4 linked regions of the Oryzias latipes genome follow. The protein of the gene in region 4 interacts with the protein of the main gene of each other region in a biochemical or structural test. Links are inferred from orthologs where the notes say so. Each region holds a gene or a part of one and is shown on either strand. Other genes may lie near its edges.

Region 1 (4,219 bases), on a different chromosome or scaffold from region 4:
AGAAATCCTTAGTTTCTTACAACCTGCCAAAAGTGTGGGGAGACCGACACATAATACTTAACAAACATTGCTTGGAAGACGAACAACAGTGCAGGCAGCACACGTACTGGGAAACACGCACACACATGCCATGTCCACAGATGGCTGGCATGACTGTGTGCTGCTCTAGTATCATGCTGTTAAATTTGAATCCACAGGACCAAGCAGTGCTTCAGTCCACCAGACTATCTGGAGTCAGGGGGAATATTTCAGAGCCCCTTTATTTAAGTCAGCAAGGGGCAGCACTTTTCCCACCACTAAAATTAGCCTTGGGATATACTTAAGTTGATCCTTCATAGTGCTAACCGAATCATAAAAGTAGGGAACTGTTGAGTTTGCCCAACATTGGATTGTTATGCCCCCAAGATGGTAAAGAACCATGTCTTTGCAATTCACACATTATTTGGAAATCCACATTTGGAAGGATTAAATATAATGTAAATCAATATCTCTAAGTGTTTGTCCACACTGTACTTGTTCTTTGCGTGACTTTGTATTCAAGATCTTATGGAGTTACAGCACGTCTTGAACAAAGCCTGAAGGCTAACCCTTGTAAGCAACACTTTAGTGGTAGTAAATGAAAAGGAGAGTTAGAAAAAACAAATGTGTACTTAATATGTAGCATTGTTCTTTAAATTTTATTGAAACTATTTTTTTTCTGGTAGCAAAAATTCTAAATTATTTGTTATTTACATATTTTATAAAACCCTGTCATTTGCATTTTGCACCAATTACCCCGTTTTAAATAGTATCCTGATGGGTAAGATTACATCTTTGTAAGCTAGACTTATTTAGCAACTTTTTCAGCAGAACTTATGTCACAGAAAAACTATATGGCAATAATCTACATTAAAAAAAAATTCTGACAGATGTTAGTTTTCACAACATCCCAGTTCAGGCATTCAGCTGTTAGTCGGTGTTAGCGTTAAATATAGCACTCACCTTGGTGCTCTGACCTGAACTCTTTGTTTCATTATTCCATTTATGGCTTGTGTTTACATCATTGGTAGAGTTGGGCAACTTTGTGGGGCAACAGGGCGACAAATGAATATGCACATGGGGAGAATAAGAGCTGCTGAGCTTCGGTTTTGAAACGTGACATGAAATTTCGGTGTTAGGGTACGGCACCTCGAGGGAAAAACTCCTTTGCACGGCACGGTGACAGCGACCATCCTCAGACCAGTCTTGGCCATTCCCCGTTAAACAAGGCTTCCTTTTGGGCGATGGTTTTGTAGAAGGAAACAAACAAGCAGAGGTACTGCGATACAGTTTTTTTTTCCCATCATGTACATGCTCAGCACGATTAGTAGGGTGATGAGCCTCTGGATATTCCACATTTGCATCCTTACTGAGAGCTGCCTTTGTCGAGCCCTGTGGACTGTGGGGGGTAAAATGCAGCAGCAAACTACTTGAGTGACGATTAGACCTGTCTGGAGCTGATGAAACTTCTGCCCCTGCATTCCTGCTCTCAGCTTTGGACTGCTGTTTATCCTGTACAGGCAGATTAAAGTGCACCGTGTGTTTCGAGTCCTCAGCTGCTGAACAGTTTCCTCTTGGCTGACTTTGGCAACTGACTGCAGCTGTGGTGGACCCTTTGTAACTTACTTCCTCGTCGTCTTGTGAAAATGTATTGGTAGATGACTGAGGAGTTGAATGACTAGATCCTCTTGCTGGCAGGAGAGGTGGCAAAGCTCCTGAACTCACTGGGGAGGCAGGTGGAGTGCTGCAGGGGCTTTTTGGAAATATAACCAAAGACGAGCACCTCCGCAGTGGGACTCTGGTTCTCCAGGAGAGTCGAGTTCTCTCGTGGTTGGTCTTGTGCTTTTCTGGAGGCTCCGGTTCAAAGATGCTGTTGCTGCTGCAGTAACCAGCATCACTTGCCATGCTGCTGTGGCACGACCCTCCGCCGCCTTCATTAACCCCAGGGTCTCCATCCTCTATGCTGCCATCCTGCTCTCCACTGAGCTGTCCACAGGGCTGCAGTGAGATTTGTAGAACGCTCTTCGTATTACACCCTCCAGTGTTAACTCTCGGTATGAAAACTGAAGAGTATTGACTGTTGGCAAAGTCTGGTGACAGAGGAGTCACCTTCAAGTGGACAGAACTGTGCGCCAGACTCTGTGTGGGACTACGTACAGACGCACCAACTCCGCTCTCCTCATCGTGGCTGCTCGGGCTTTGTGACAGGGGGTCCGTGTTGCTTCTCCTTGACGCGAAATGCAAGCGGAGCCGACGCGCCATTTGTTTAACTCCCTAATCCCTGCAGCGCCTGTAAGAGCAGCATGATCACACTTGCTGGTAGGAAAAAGAAGCAAGTAAAGCAACTGCTGCGCACTCCGCTGTGATCACAATCATTAGCGACTGGACATTGCCAAAATAGCTCTGGTGACAACCTACATTCCTCTCCAGGCTCATCTCAGCTTTAAGTCAGAAGGGGCCAGTGGTTCTGTTTGGATACTTGACCCAAATGAACAATTTTAAAACCAGAGCAGACCCCCTAACAGAAAACAAAGTTACAGTAAAACACAAGTAATTATGCCATTATCGAAAGTCTGCCCTCTCGATCTTATTCAATCTTGTTTACTCTTTTAAAAAGAAAGAAAAACCAGCTTGAAGAAGGCAGACTTACGCTGAATGTCTAGTGAACTGTTACATCTGCTTTGGCTCACTCACTCAGGACTGCACTTCCTGTGACTGCAGTTCATCTAATGTTTCGCTGCTCCTTCCTCCAACAAATATTTTTACCTTCTACTATTGAATTACAGGAAATTACAGGAAATCAAAATGAAAGACTTTCAACATAATTCTGAATCAAACTGAAGCTCAAGTTGAAGAAATAGATCATTTGGATTGTAAGACAGATTTAAAGCTGCACAACAGCATTAATGCTGAGACTTCCAAAGTGATAAACTAGAATGCTAAATTACTTGTTTTGAGCAGGGATCCAACAAACTGCTAAACACTGAGCTAAAGGATATTTCTTTTAAAATAAAAACTATAATAACTGTGACATTACCGTCACACGACACTGGTTATATGACTCCGCATGTAACAGCCAGTTGCTGCTCTGATTTCTTTTCCATGGCTGTTGACAGTCCAGTTTATTAATGGAAGCTTATTGTTAGCTAGGCTGGTCTATTTCCGATAATTACTCTGCTTTCCAATACAGAGCGGTGGTAATGTTTAATATTAAGAAGCAAAGCTAGGATAATGACATGACTCACGAGCAGACACTTTTTTTCCTGCTCACTTTCATGGTGGAACAATGTCTCACATGACCAGTGAACCACATGACTGCAGATGAGTCACTCCCCAGAACTGATAGAGGAGAGTGATGGTGATAGGTCAGCCATAAGATAAGATGTATGACTAACACCACACACATATTTGTCAATCTACACAACTGTATCATGATGTAATATATTAATACAATGAAGGAGCTTTGCCGGATCTCATGTTCCATGACGCAGAAGTAAACAAGGTCATATTTACTCAACATTTAAGAGTGCAAGATATTGTTGCTACAAATGGAAACTCTGAGATAAGATCTGAGGAGAATTTGAAGAGGTAAAATAGGAGTCAGTCTAAATCTTAACTATTTTACTTTACAGTAAACCAACCAATCTAGCTCTGAAATAAATCAAACTGCTCCAACTGGATGTATCAGTGAGACTGAAATTGAGCAGTAATACAAAATTAAATCGAGCGGAGAAACACTAACATGTATGGAATGGAACCTACCAGGAATGGACAATGTCACATCACTGATTTAGCCAAATATTTATAATTTTATTTTTTTTACAATATTTAATACTGACTTCTTTAAAGTTGGAAAAATCGTTAGCAGAATCAGGTTGCGCGTATCAAAAGTGAACAGAAAATCAAAACTTGTAGTCTGCAGATGGTACCTATTAGATAAAAACCAATTACAGCATAAACATAGACTATCAAATTCTAAGGAATCATTCTAAGCAATTGCCATGGACACATGTTTTTGATAAAACATAGAAGTTTGATGTTTGAGTCACCACTTCATCCAGGATCCAGGAAATCTTTCAGTTCTCGATCTAAATGGAGCAAGACAATCTTCTGTTCTAAAGAGCCTTGTGGTTACACATTGAGTCCTATACTGACAAATTAGAAGCATGGAGGCTAAGATATCCATTAGGATGTAATAAAT
Region 2 (4,469 bases), on a different chromosome or scaffold from region 4:
GAACATCATTTGGCTTTAAAGTCATGCTCTGATGAAAAGGGTGGGTTTTTCTTTTAGCTTTTTTCCTGCTCTGCTTAATTCTGATGCATCCACTTGTAGACGACTACATCCACGAACGTCTTCGTATTCCTCGTCTGAGCTGGCATCTAGATCAAAACTGGTCCGGTTGGATTGTTCCAATATTGCTCGCTATTTTTGTTGCAGCGATAATGTTAGGTTAGGGGTGTGAGGAGGTGTAAGCAAAAGGGAGAGTACAAACAGCTCTCAGATATGGGTGATGGGGAATGGGGGCGTTGCTCCACGCTGCAACTCAGAGGTGAATTTCCTGTGTCCTAGGAAATGACACAGGTTTTTGGATTTTGGCTGGCTGAAAACAGTTTTATCGTTATTGGGAGCATGTTTAAAATAGATCTAAGTATGATTTGTGTGGATCAAAAAAAAAAATTCCAGACCAAGTTACACAAATCAAATAAACATAAGTGGATCATTTCTTCTTGTTTACCGTCAACTGTCCTGCTACTCCAAAATCTGCCAGTTTCGCGTGACCCTCAGTGTTGAGAAGGATGTTTCCAGCCTTGATGTCACGATGAATCTTCCTCATGAAGTGAAGGTATTCAAGACCCTTCAGGGTTGATTTAAGGATGGTGGCAATCTCATCTTCTGTCAGCTGGACCATGAAAGCAAAGCAAAAACAAAACAAAAAAGGGCAGGGCGAGATAAACCTTGGTGTTAATAAAAGATCAGGGTAGTCATAAATAAATACATTATTTCTTCAGCCCAAATAGACTAACTGTAGTCAAAATTGGATTATTTCTGCTTCTTTTAAGTGTTTCTTTTCAAGTAGGGAAGAAATCTAACAGATCAATCTTACAACACATTCTAACCATAAACTTAAAAGGCTCACCGTCTTGTTGCGGAGTCTGATTATGTCAGAAACGGATCCAGCTCCGCAGTACTCCATGACAATCCAAAGGTCTGTGTTTTTGAAGTAGCTGCCATAGTATTTCACTACATAAGGGCTGGAAAGAGGTTCAGAGCAAAGTTTGTATTTAAACCTCAAAAAAAGGGAAGTATTCCTGCAAACATCAGAGTGCAGAGGAGCTTGAGTTTGACTAATTCTTTGGATAGTTTTGATCATCTAATGTACTCCACATGACACGGATAAGCATTTGCAGAGACATCTGGAATTCTCACCTGTCACACTGCTGCATGATGGAGATCTCTTTGATGATTTCCTGTAGATCTGACTCCACTGGAACCTGCTTGATGGCCACAACCTGTCCTGACTCTTTATGAATGGCTTTAAAGACACTGCCATAGGAACTAAGCACACACCAAAGCTAGTCACACACCACACCAGGGTGCGCAAAACCAATGTATAACACAACAATCAACTGTAAAAAAGGAAAGTACAGGATGAAAAGAAAAAAGGAATCAAAGTTCTTACCCTTCACCAAGTTTTTCTAATACATCAAACACTTCCTCTGGCTGTTTTGTCAAGCTGTCCTCGCTCAGCTTTTTCAGCTTGCTGCAGTTTAAAGAAAGTCATCTTATTATTGACATCAATAGACAATATAAATAATAAATAGCCCAGATAGTTTTAGGTAATGCAGAGGGAACAATATGAGATTTATTTACTCAATTAATATAAATACGTTTTAATTAATTTTGCTTTGATTACCATATTTAACAGAGAGCAAGAAACAAATAAAATGTCTACCAAAAAAGACAGATTTGTTAATTGTTTATTGCTATCAGTATGGATTTCAACACAATAGTTAAGACTTGAAGTGTTTTCTTAGTTTTTCAATAACAGGCTTAAAAACAGCACAACTAGAAATCCTCCAATGAAACGGCTTTCAAAAATGACCAGGAAGTGACTTCATGTTACTTGATTAAGGCCCTGTGGGTTTTTGCTCGTCATGTGAAAAGGTTTTAAGAAGATGTAGTTTCACTCACTCAGGATTACTGTCAACCATAAAAAGTATTAAAACCTAACTTATTTTGTCAACACAATGATACTGTATTAGTAAAATTCACATTTAATTTCAAATATAAAATTCAATAAAATGAGGAAAACCAACAAAGCAACCAAATAAAAAAGCCAATTGTGTGTGCAAAGTCTGATTTATGTATTGTACTGTATATGATACAACAAAATACAACTGAATTAAACTTTATTGATACAAAAATTGGAAATTACCTTGTTACTATAGCTCTAATAAAAACAGCAGATAGAAAATATTTCTATAAATATTAGGTTATGAACATGTTAAAGTTTCAAATGTATTTAAAATTAAAATATAATGCCAAACAGAAAAGTACATTATATGCTTATGATGTAATTGCATAACAAAATAATACTTAACTGGTTTTGAAGAACGCAATAAATTAAATTACATTTTGTAAATAAAATTTGCTACTGTTTTCGTTATTTTAATTGCTGTACGCGCACGTTTTAAATACATTAAATTTGCCTGTAGGGACAAAAGGCAAGACGTTTTATAAAATGTACACTTTTTTGTTGTTCCTTAAAATTGTGATTAAAAATGTGTCACCGTTTCGAAATTTCAACGTCAATTTTGAAGTGAGGAAGTACAGAATAGTAGGGCCTATATCCATGTAAATAGAAAGTTTCAAACAAAACCACTGGAGTTTAACGACTAAATGAGTTAGCTTAGCATTAGCTAGTAGGGGCTCAGCTAGCATCCGATTATGCTAAAGTTTGAACAATTGGAATCTTTACAAACCTTTTAGGCGCGGTTGGCTCCATCATGAATCAACTCGAAAACGTAAATTTAAGGAGCGCTTTTAAAAAAGATTGCCGTTTTGTCACTATGGAACGAACGTGTGAACATTGTCGGCAGACAAGACGCGTTGTTGTCAGAAACTAGCAGAGGGCCAGCTGAGATGGGCGCTTCATCTTCTTCGTGGAATCTAGTGAGGGCAATGCACAAAAGATCTAACGCATTACCGCCACCTCGCGGCTTCAAGGGTTACCTACAAAGTCGGGAAAACGTGGCCTGTGTTTTTTATGAAAGAAATGACAGCAAAAAAACAACAACTTCAACAACAAACTCAAATTGCACTGTAATTTTTTGTTTAATTTTTAAAGATGTAATTTTAAAGTTATATAAATGTTTTCACGTTACACTGGCATTATTTTGGAAACAAAGAATTGATTTATGTCCGAGGAATAGTATGTACTAATTTTAGATTTTATTGGGATTCATTTAAAGGGTATGGGGCGCCGAATGTAAAAATTAACCTCAGGAAAATTATGTCTCAGTTTCACCACATTTAGACATTTCTTTCCCATAAAAGGGCCTATATTATATCAATTTATTCCGATACAGTGGGGCAAAAAAGTCAGCCACCACTTGTGCAAGTTTTCCCACTTAAAAAGATTAGAAAGACCTGTAACTTTCATCACAGGGATACCTCAACTATGAGAGACTAAATGAGAAAAAACAATTAAGGAAAGTTCAACTCAATGCTTTGTTACATACCCTCTTTTGGTAATGACAGCAGTCAAACGTTTTCTGTAAGTCTTCACAAGGGTTTCACAAACTGTTGTTGGTATTTTAGCCCATTCCCCTTTAAAGATTTTCTATGGGGGTTGCGATCTGACAGGCTAGGCCAAACCAGGACCTTGAACTGCTGTTAAGAAGCTACTCCTTTTTTATCCGGGCAGTGTGTTTGGGATCGTTGTCATGCTAAAAGACCCAGCCCCCTTTCATCTTTAGTGCTCTTGCTGATGGAAGAAGGATTCACTAACTAACTCACTGTGAGTCGTTCCTGGCTTGAAGCAATGAGAGGGAGCAATTTCTATCACCTCCACCTATGCCCGTTCTTCCATTGCCTTTCTGACTGCTCACGGTTTATGGCTACAACACGAGGGTCTGTTTAGGATGGCGACTGTGCTTATGAGGCCGTGTCAATTCACCAAGATTCCTCCCCCCAGCTGATCTATGTGGACCGCGACTGCTGCACCAGAGATGCCGTGTCCAGGGCAGCTGACGTATTTTTGGTTCAAACTCATCATGTTTTCATTACATGTTCCAAATGTTCCAACTTCTCAACCAATCAAATGGCCTGATTCGTTCCAATTTCAACTCTGAAACTTTGGGGGTCCAATCAGAGAGCTGGATTTGTTCCAATTTCTCGCCCCCGCCCCCCTTCTTTTACTGTCATGACTGCCGTCTTCCTGGTTGGACGTAAGTGCTGTTTTTCCTTTGATTTAACGAGAAATCGATGGTTTTAAGTGCTGAAACGATGTTGAATGTTTGTGTTTTTATTAAAAGATGCGCTTTTAAATTTTGAAACTTTCACTTTCTGCTCACAGTTGTGAGAGCCTTTAACTTCTTCGGTCTGATGTTGTATCTTTTCCTAAATCCCAGCATCCTGGGACCAGCATACTCTGTGTCTTCAAGTTCTCCAGCCGGCAGAAAAAGTGGGAAAGGGCTGTG
Region 3 (4,210 bases), on a different chromosome or scaffold from region 4:
GGGGTTTGTGTCAAATACCTTTTTTAGTTCAAGGAAAGTTCATGGATTGTTGTTGAATGAGAATTTTTCTTTCAATATGAGAGATCAGGCTGCTGTTTAGCACGTGGTCACTTTGAGTGAAACAGTTCTCTCTTCAGGTTCTGGTGTTTCTGTCATCCAACTTTCACTACTGTGTTCTTTATCTGCAGCTGATTGGTCCAGCAATGAGACGTTCTGCTGATGAAGCTCACTTCCATCCCCGCGCCTTTAGCTCAGCCTGCTCTCTCAAATCTGATTCCGAAATCCAAGAGGAGGAGCCTCCAGCTTGTGGGCGGAGTCAAGCCCCCAACATGCCCCACCCAGGACTCAGTGTTTCCTCCCTGTTCGAAACTGAGGAAGACTTCAGTATTGACTTCTAGCAGCTCCTATGTGTAGTCTGGTTCAAGTGTGCTGCTGGTGGAGGTGTTGCCGTGGAAACAGGTGATATAAAATTACATTTAGTGTTTCATTTGGACTGTTTTGGTTCTCAAAAGCAGCCTGCTGTGCACTTGGCAGTACAGGTGTGTATCAAGACTCCACCCACTCGGATTCCTTCATGTTTTTATTGTTCAGAAACAGATTAATAAAAGACAGAAACAGGTTAAGGAGTTGATTAACAGTTGAACAGATAGAAACTCAGGTTAAATAAAGCAGCTGGTGCGGTCACTGTGGTGGGCGGGGCTGCTTGGCGTACTGGATGGCGTCCAGAGCCGCTCCAATGTCAAAGTTTTTGGCCTGGAGGAGTCTGGTGAGCCAGCCCCCCTCATCAGTGAAGCCCATCGACAGCATCTGAGCCAGAGACTCCACCAAGTGGGGGTCCGCCTCTGTGGGGGGCAGAGGGAGGAGCTTACAAGAGGGCAACAGTCATAGCAAATGATACTTGTGAGAACTAGACTCACCTTGAGGCAGGTGGGGGTACAGCGCAGCCTCCCGCAGACCTGTTGGCCCCTGCTGCCCTCCCGACGGGGGCCCCTGCTTCCCTCCCGACGGGGGCCCCTGCTGCCCTACCGACGGCTGCTGCCCTCCCGACGGGGGCCCCTGCTGCCCTCCCGACGGCAGCTCGCACTCGTGGTTCTTGGGGTCTAAGGATTGCAGCTCCCCCGTGGACGGGTCCACCTCTTTGGAGCTCAGGTGAGTCCACTCCTCGTCAGAGTCCCGGCTTGCCTGCGTGTACGTGGGGACGAGGGTCAGTTGTTGACACGTTCATTTCAGTCATTGATCAGTGAACACAGACTGACCTTTGACCTCTCAGCAGTTGCAGACTCCCCTTCGTTTACATCCATTGCCACATTGTCATCCCCCCCTCCAGCCTGAGTGGGTGGATTCACCTTCGACCTCTGCCCGTCATGCTCAACATCAATGTCCACGTCGATTCCTGCATGGAAATCATGACATCACTTCCTGCCTGTCCCCCAAAAACAGCAACTCCACTATGTACACTCACCCAGGGGGCTCAACATGGCGGCAACCCCCTCCCCAATGTTCTTCAGGAAGTCCACACTAGCCTGGGAAGCTGCAGAGGTCAGAGGTTAAGGTGGGAGCATGTTAATGCCCTAGGCTCAAACGTTTTTTGAGTTTCTCTCACCTGATGGTTCTCCACCGTCACCCGAAGATGCTGATGGCCTTGGCTGGTCCTGCTGTTCCTGCTGCTCTGGGTTTTGGTTTTGATTCTGGTTCTGGTTCCACATGCAGTGTCTCATTCTCTTCATCCACTTTCCACGGGGAAACCACTGCAGACACAGTTTCTGGTTCAGTCAGTGCATTTTGGCTTTGACCAAAAAGTCCTTTCTTTTAAATCAGCACGATGTCCAGACAGAAGTGGAAAGACGATTAGATGGTTAGATGGAGTAACTCACCTGCAGGGGGTGCCAGATGGGCAGCAAAGCGTGCTCAGTGTGCTTCCCTTGAGCCTGGCAGGTGGAGCAAAGGTCGTAGTCGGGACAAACGGAGCACTTGAACCGCATTCCCACAACCGGCCCTTCACAGCCGTCACAGGTGACGTTAGGGTGCAGGGCGGGGGGAGGGCCGTGATGTGGAGCATGAGGGGGGCCATGGGGTGGTGGGTGTCCAAACATGAAAGGGGGTAGGGCATGCAGTGGGAAATCACGGCGGTGCTCCTTCTTCTCTGTCAGAGTTCAGGAAGAAAAAAAAAAAAAAAACCGTGAGGGAGGACTGCTGGGAGGTCACTCTGATCTCACACAGGAGGCCGTGCATTTACCTTTGATGTAGAGGCGGAAGGTGGAGTCCTTCACGCAGCCCAGGCCCATCATCAGCTCATCATCAGAAGAAAAGGCCACCAAATCTCCATCCTCATCTGAAATATAAACCGGAATCACACCTGAAGCTCCTCCCCTCTACGTCATAAGGTCCCACCTACTCCGCCTGTGTTTGTGTGTGGGTGTGGGGGGGGGGGGGGGGTCTAAACTTCGGGCCTCCTGATCAACTGAATATTTTCAATTGCGCACAAATCAAAGGACAGAAATTTGTGGGCGTGGCTACATGCGTCACGTGACAGCAATCCCTTTAAATTAGCTGTTTCTTAAATAAGTCAGTGGGCGGATTATGTTTGTACAGATTCAAATGTCTACAGTCCTTCTATATACTCGAATGTTTCTCTAAGTTGGTCTTCCGCGTTACTGCGGCTGTTTAATAAAGTATTGACAAAAAGTTCGGTTCCAGGTTAGTGAGTATGACGGTTCCGATCAGACCCAGCGGATCCCGGCTCTGTCTGACCCGGCCCATGCGGCTCACCTTTGTAGAAGAGGTTGAAGGAGGAGTTCATCAGGTTGGAGAAGACCGCCGCGGTTTTCTTGCTGAGATATTCGAAGTTGCAGGACACGTCCTGGTCCACCGCGAAGCGGCGGATCTCCTTCACATGCTCGTCCTTCCCCAGAAGGTAAGCCTTCACCGTCACAGACATGCTGCTGCTGCTGTGGACTCCGAACCACAAAGTTCTGACACCGGGAGCAGGACCGAGACACAGACGCAAAACCGTCACTTGAACAGTCCAAGAAAAATCCCAGTTTGTGACGCAGCGATAAATTTCAGCCTCTTTTATGTTTACTTCCGCAGGTGACGTGATTCTGTTAACAGTTGCGCAGCCGCGGATTGGTCCGTGTAAAAGGAACGCCGGTTCCAGAGGTCCAATCAGAGGCCGTCTTGTGTGTCACGTGATCAGGATCCCAGCAGACAGTTCACACACATCGCGGAGTCACCGTGAGAAGGCAGACTGCGGCCATGAAAACACGGAAACGATGAATCGCCTAGAGACGTCCTCCTGTGTTTATCAAACCTGTGGCCCATCGGAATGGATCCTTCTAGAATTAGTAGGAAAGTTCTAGACTGCTTCAGTACTTTTAGTGTTTCAGACTAAACAAGGGAAAAAATTTAATCTTTTCAATTTAAAACTATGGAAGTTCATTAAAGAGAAATTAGTAACTAACCATAAAATGTCAGTTATTTTAAATAAATAATTCATTTAACATTGGAATTTTTTTCCTTAAAACAGTTAAACTTCATTAGATTTTTTCTTTTGGAGAAAAAAAACGTTATATGTTTTTGAAATTTGTAATTCATTTTTTCTCAGCTGTTCAAGGAGGAGCCTACATTTTTATGTTATTCTTGTTAATGTTATAATGTAATATTTATTCTTTAAAATTATTATTGTTTTAGAGATTACTTCCAAGTCAAAAGGAAAAAAGTTTGTCACAAGAAAATAATAATAAATAATCAGGCCTTATAACATCGAAGACAAGTGAACAATCTAAACCTAAGATACAACTTTACTTAAATAAATAAACCAAAACTACAACGCCATTGTTTATTGAAATCATCAGGGTTTTTTGTTTAAAGCCAAAGAGACCTAATGGAAGGTTAAAATAGCTGCATGAAGACTAATATATTGTATTCTAGTAAATACTCATGATTAGTTAACTGTAAGCATTTTTCATGTCTACCATTATTTGTCCTGGATCACTGAGAGGGAGTTGATGTCTAAAATTCTTCAGTTATTTTTCCTATTCAGAGGGAAAAAAAGAAAAACAATTTTCAGAAGTGTAGTAAATGGATTACATCTGTAAACTACCAGTAATGATAAATTCATAGTCAATGTTTATGAGGAAATCTCCTGATATTCTGTCCACCTTTAGGTCTTCTCTTCAAATCTTAATGATTAATTCACCAACATGGGGAA
Region 4 (3,549 bases):
CTCATCTTTGACAGAACAGACGTGACGTCTCGGCGATAAATCCACTGACAGATGTTAGAGTCCAGTGAAGTGGTGCTGGTTCTGATGGACTCTACCGACACAGTGACCCGGTTTGGGTTTAAGGAGGAGTCACTGATGGGGTTCTGATGACCATTTCTGTTCTGGACCTCTCAGCTGATCCAGTCAAACTCAGAACACAGACCAGGTTCTAGAGCCCCCCCCCCCCCCCGGGTGTGTGTGTGGGGGGGGGGGGGGGTGTTCTGTCTGGGCTGGAGGTCTCCGTTCCCCTCTTCTTGGAGCTAGACATTTACTCCGATTACTTTGTCAGGAACTGAAACGCGTTTGAGGCTGAAGAGTTCCGACCCGACCCGACCCGTCGCAGCGATCAAAGACCTTCCTTCATCCAGGAAATGATCTGAACAAACACGGCTCCATCCTCAGCTCCACATTCTGGAACACAGCCGGTTCTTTTCCATCAACCCTCACATTTACAGACGGACCTGAACGCAGCGCAGACCGGACGCCGTCTGTTCAGGTGAAGGAAAGTCCTGCAGACGCCTCACTGCTCAACATTTATTGCTTCATCTTTAAAAGTCCACAGAAACGTCAGTTTATAAAAATATTTTCTATTTACAGCAGATTCACAGCGGAAGTCCGTAAAAGTGCGGCGGCGGCGTCAGCGTCCGAACATCTCCTGCGAGGCGTAGGTCATGTAGAGGAAGCCGTCCTCGTCCTGGTGGTCCTTGTAGACCTGGGCCATGGTGAGGGACATGCTGGGCAGCCCGCTGCTGTTGATGAGCAGGTAGAAGGCCTGGCTGGGCAGCAGCGCCATCCGGTTCCTGCAGAGGGAGGGGCGTCAATGTGCAGCTGTTCCAGCATACTGGATTCTGTTGACATCTGAAAACAGATTAAAAAGCTTCCAGGTCCACAGCGCCACCTGCTGACCAGTCATTTCCTCACATCTGATGCTGAATGAGGACAGGAAGACATTTTATTCTGAAAAGCTGATTTCCTCCATGAAGCCCAAATTCTGGATGGAACTCCAACAGATCCGCAGTTTGATCAAAACGGTCAGAAATCTGCTCTTCAGATCCACCCCAGAACTTCCCAGATCCTCGTTTTTCAGGGCTCTGCAGGACAGAACCGGACTTTGGACTTTAATCTGCTAATCCATAATCTGGTGTCAGATTACAGCGGCTGAAGGAGCAAACAGACGGCAGCTGGAAGTCAGATCAGAAGTGTCTGCAGGTTTCAGAAACTCAGGAGGAAGAAGAGGAGGAGGAAGAGGAGGAAGAAGAAGAGGAGGAAGATCTGGACATCTGTCACCAAAACTTTTCAGAGAAGAACTGAACCCAAAGTTCTGATCCACACAACGGAAGACTTTCAGAACCGACTCAGCAGTCAGAACTTGGATGAAGAAGACTGAGCAGCTCATCTGGGTTCTGGATACCCCCACCCCCTCTAAAAGGTTTCTAAGGAGCGCGTGCCTGCAGTGTCACGTGATGTGTCTCCTTCAGGAACAAACAAAGCTGACCCATTTATGAAGAAAGATAATTGATCTTTTAAAACAGCCTAGAGCACGCGCGCACGCACGGCGCGCTCTCTACAGACTCACCTGATGATGGTGACGAACTGCGTCATGGTGAGCTCGTGCGGCACCAGAAACTTAGTCTTATCAAGGGGGGGCAGGAACCTCTCCTTGTCGTAGCGCTCGATGATGACCTGGGGGGGCGCAGCAGCTGATTGAGTGGGAACGAACAAACACCTTTGCGCGTGACGGCCGCCTACTTACCGGGATCTTGTTCGGAAATTTGGATTTAATTCCCGCCACCTCTTGTTTCCGCGTGGCTGCGCGCACGACACAAACGGAGCGTTACGTTAGTGGCAAACTGTGGCGCGTGCGTGAACGCGCGAGGCCTTACCAAAGCTCTTCCTCTGTTTGAAAGGTTTGCTCTGCGGAGGGATCTTCTCCAGCGGAGGCATGATGGAGCGCCGGGTCGGAGACAGCGCGCGGACGAGCCCGCGTGGGGCTTAAATACGGGCGGCTGGAACACATCAGCTGATTGCCGCGTGTCCACGGGGTGGGCGTGGTCAATACGGGTCTCTGATCAGCCGGAGGTGGGGGGGTCCTCACTGTTTGAGAGACCTTTATGAACGTGAGGTGATCAAAGTGAAAAGCCAGGTCACGTGCGCGCAGGTCCAAGCTGGGATGACCTCTACAAGGTCACGTGCTTTACTCTCCTTATTTACACACACACACACACACACGCACACACACGCATACACACACACACGCATACAACAATACACACATGTAACCACACACAATTGCTGATTTAATTTTAAACCAAACTTATGATTCAAAATATTCTCACAAAAACATCACAGACAGAATTGTTCTTCATCATCTTCATCCTCAGAGTTCAGTTCTGTTTAAATGAAGTCCGTTCTTTGAAATTTTCATTGTTGTTGATCTTCGTTTCAACTCTCAGAATGATCTGGATTTCCATCAGTCAAAGACAGGAAAGTGCAGACAGTCAGCTGGCGGGTCAGTGACGTCATGGCGCAGGTAAGAAAAGTCCAAACATGTTATTATTAGTACTTTCAAAATAAAAGTATCCTTTCTCATTGTGACTATATCTTCCAGAGGTTTGCGTACAAATGAACCTGAATGGCGTTGGGGGGGTCAACTGGTGCTGGTGACGTTTATAAAGTTTTATTTACCTTCACAGGTTTAGTCTTTGCATTCTGGGAATATTTTGTCTAAAAAACAGATTTTACAGACTGCATCCACATAGAAGCCTTATACCTCCTCAAGTTTATTTATTCATTTTGTTCATTTCATCCTGTTGAGTCTTCAAACCCCCACTCTGCTACTGGTCTATGGGGAGGGGTCAGAATACCCCCCCCCCCCCAACAGATGTCTTTGAAAATATAAAATTCATACCAATACAAGAATAAATACAGTTCTGAATACGAGTAAACACTGTTTTTAACTTTTGAAATATTATATTTATAAGCTATTGAGAGCAAAAAATAAGTAATATAAATTATTTACACAAACTTGAGACATAGAATACCGAATAAAACATTAGGGAGCGTTATTGTTTGGAAACCTTTCATTTCATTGATGGTATTTTATTTTGACAGTGCAAAGCGGTTGTGACGTAGCATCCGTCTGACAGGCTGCGGGACTGCGTGGTCCACAGCTCGCGCGCGGTTCTGGATGGATTTTCCTCCGCGGAGGATTTTCGAGCGACGCGGCTGACCCACCGGACCGAACCAGCGGCTCCGTGGTCCCGCCATGATGGACGAGCACGCGGGCCCCGGGGTGTTCCTGAGCGGCGGCGGTTCGGGCTCGGCTCCGCATCTGGGCTCCGTGAGCGGCGGAGAGGCGGCCCGCGCGCGGTACAGCGTCCCAGGAATCCTGCACTTCCTGCAGCACGAGTGGGCGCGCTTCGAGGTGGAGCGCGCGCACTGGGAGGTGGAGCGCGCCAAGCTGCAGGTGAGACCCGCGCGGTTCCGATAATGTGTCCAATTGGACGCTGG

What was found.
Region 1: the proteins of map1lc3c (region 4) and nedd4 form a complex in vitro, tested with the Homo sapiens proteins (2 studies listed by BioGRID and IntAct). The link is inferred for Oryzias latipes from reciprocal best matches to the Homo sapiens genes MAP1LC3C and NEDD4.
Region 2: the proteins of map1lc3c (region 4) and serine/threonine-protein kinase 3 form a complex in vitro, tested with the Homo sapiens proteins (2 studies listed by BioGRID and IntAct). The link is inferred for Oryzias latipes from reciprocal best matches to the Homo sapiens genes MAP1LC3C and STK3.
Region 3: the proteins of map1lc3c (region 4) and sqstm1 form a complex in vitro, tested with the Homo sapiens proteins (6 studies listed by BioGRID and IntAct, with this or other methods). The link is inferred for Oryzias latipes from reciprocal best matches to the Homo sapiens genes MAP1LC3C and SQSTM1.

Annotation. Positions count from the first base shown.
Region 1 is NC_019861.2:21,566,995-21,571,213, reverse strand, and holds the start of nedd4 (E3 ubiquitin-protein ligase NEDD4), read right to left. Parts: upstream 2,863-4,219; 5' UTR 2,281-2,862; coding exon 982-2,280; intron 1-981. UniProt on the Homo sapiens protein: E3 ubiquitin-protein ligase which accepts ubiquitin from an E2 ubiquitin-conjugating enzyme in the form of a thioester and then directly transfers the ubiquitin to targeted substrates. Specifically ubiquitinates 'Lys-63' in target proteins.
Region 2 is NC_019869.2:24,049,764-24,054,232, forward strand, and holds the start of serine/threonine-protein kinase 3, read right to left. Parts: upstream 2,937-4,469; 5' UTR 2,777-2,936; coding exon 2,751-2,776; intron 1,529-2,750; coding exon 1,448-1,528; intron 1,324-1,447; coding exon 1,195-1,323; intron 1,020-1,194; coding exon 905-1,019; intron 668-904; coding exon 503-667; intron 1-502. UniProt on the Homo sapiens protein: Stress-activated, pro-apoptotic kinase which, following caspase-cleavage, enters the nucleus and induces chromatin condensation followed by internucleosomal DNA fragmentation.
Region 3 is NC_019868.2:3,816,724-3,820,933, forward strand, and holds sqstm1 (sequestosome-1), read right to left. Parts: upstream 2,939-4,210; coding exon 2,770-2,938; intron 2,333-2,769; coding exon 2,237-2,332; intron 2,144-2,236; coding exon 1,875-2,143; intron 1,749-1,874; coding exon 1,604-1,748; intron 1,532-1,603; coding exon 1,463-1,531; intron 1,394-1,462; coding exon 1,257-1,393; intron 1,183-1,256; coding exon 918-1,182; intron 843-917; coding exon 682-842; 3' UTR 568-681; downstream 1-567. Other genes in the region: mrnip (MRN complex-interacting protein), read left to right, coding at 189-398. UniProt on the Homo sapiens protein: Molecular adapter required for selective macroautophagy (aggrephagy) by acting as a bridge between polyubiquitinated proteins and autophagosomes.
Region 4 is NC_019859.2:738,171-741,719, forward strand, and holds map1lc3c (microtubule-associated proteins 1A/1B light chain 3C), read right to left. Parts: upstream 2,073-3,549; 5' UTR 1,984-2,072; coding exon 1,923-1,983; intron 1,849-1,922; coding exon 1,793-1,848; intron 1,723-1,792; coding exon 1,616-1,722; intron 840-1,615; coding exon 677-839; 3' UTR 560-676; downstream 1-559.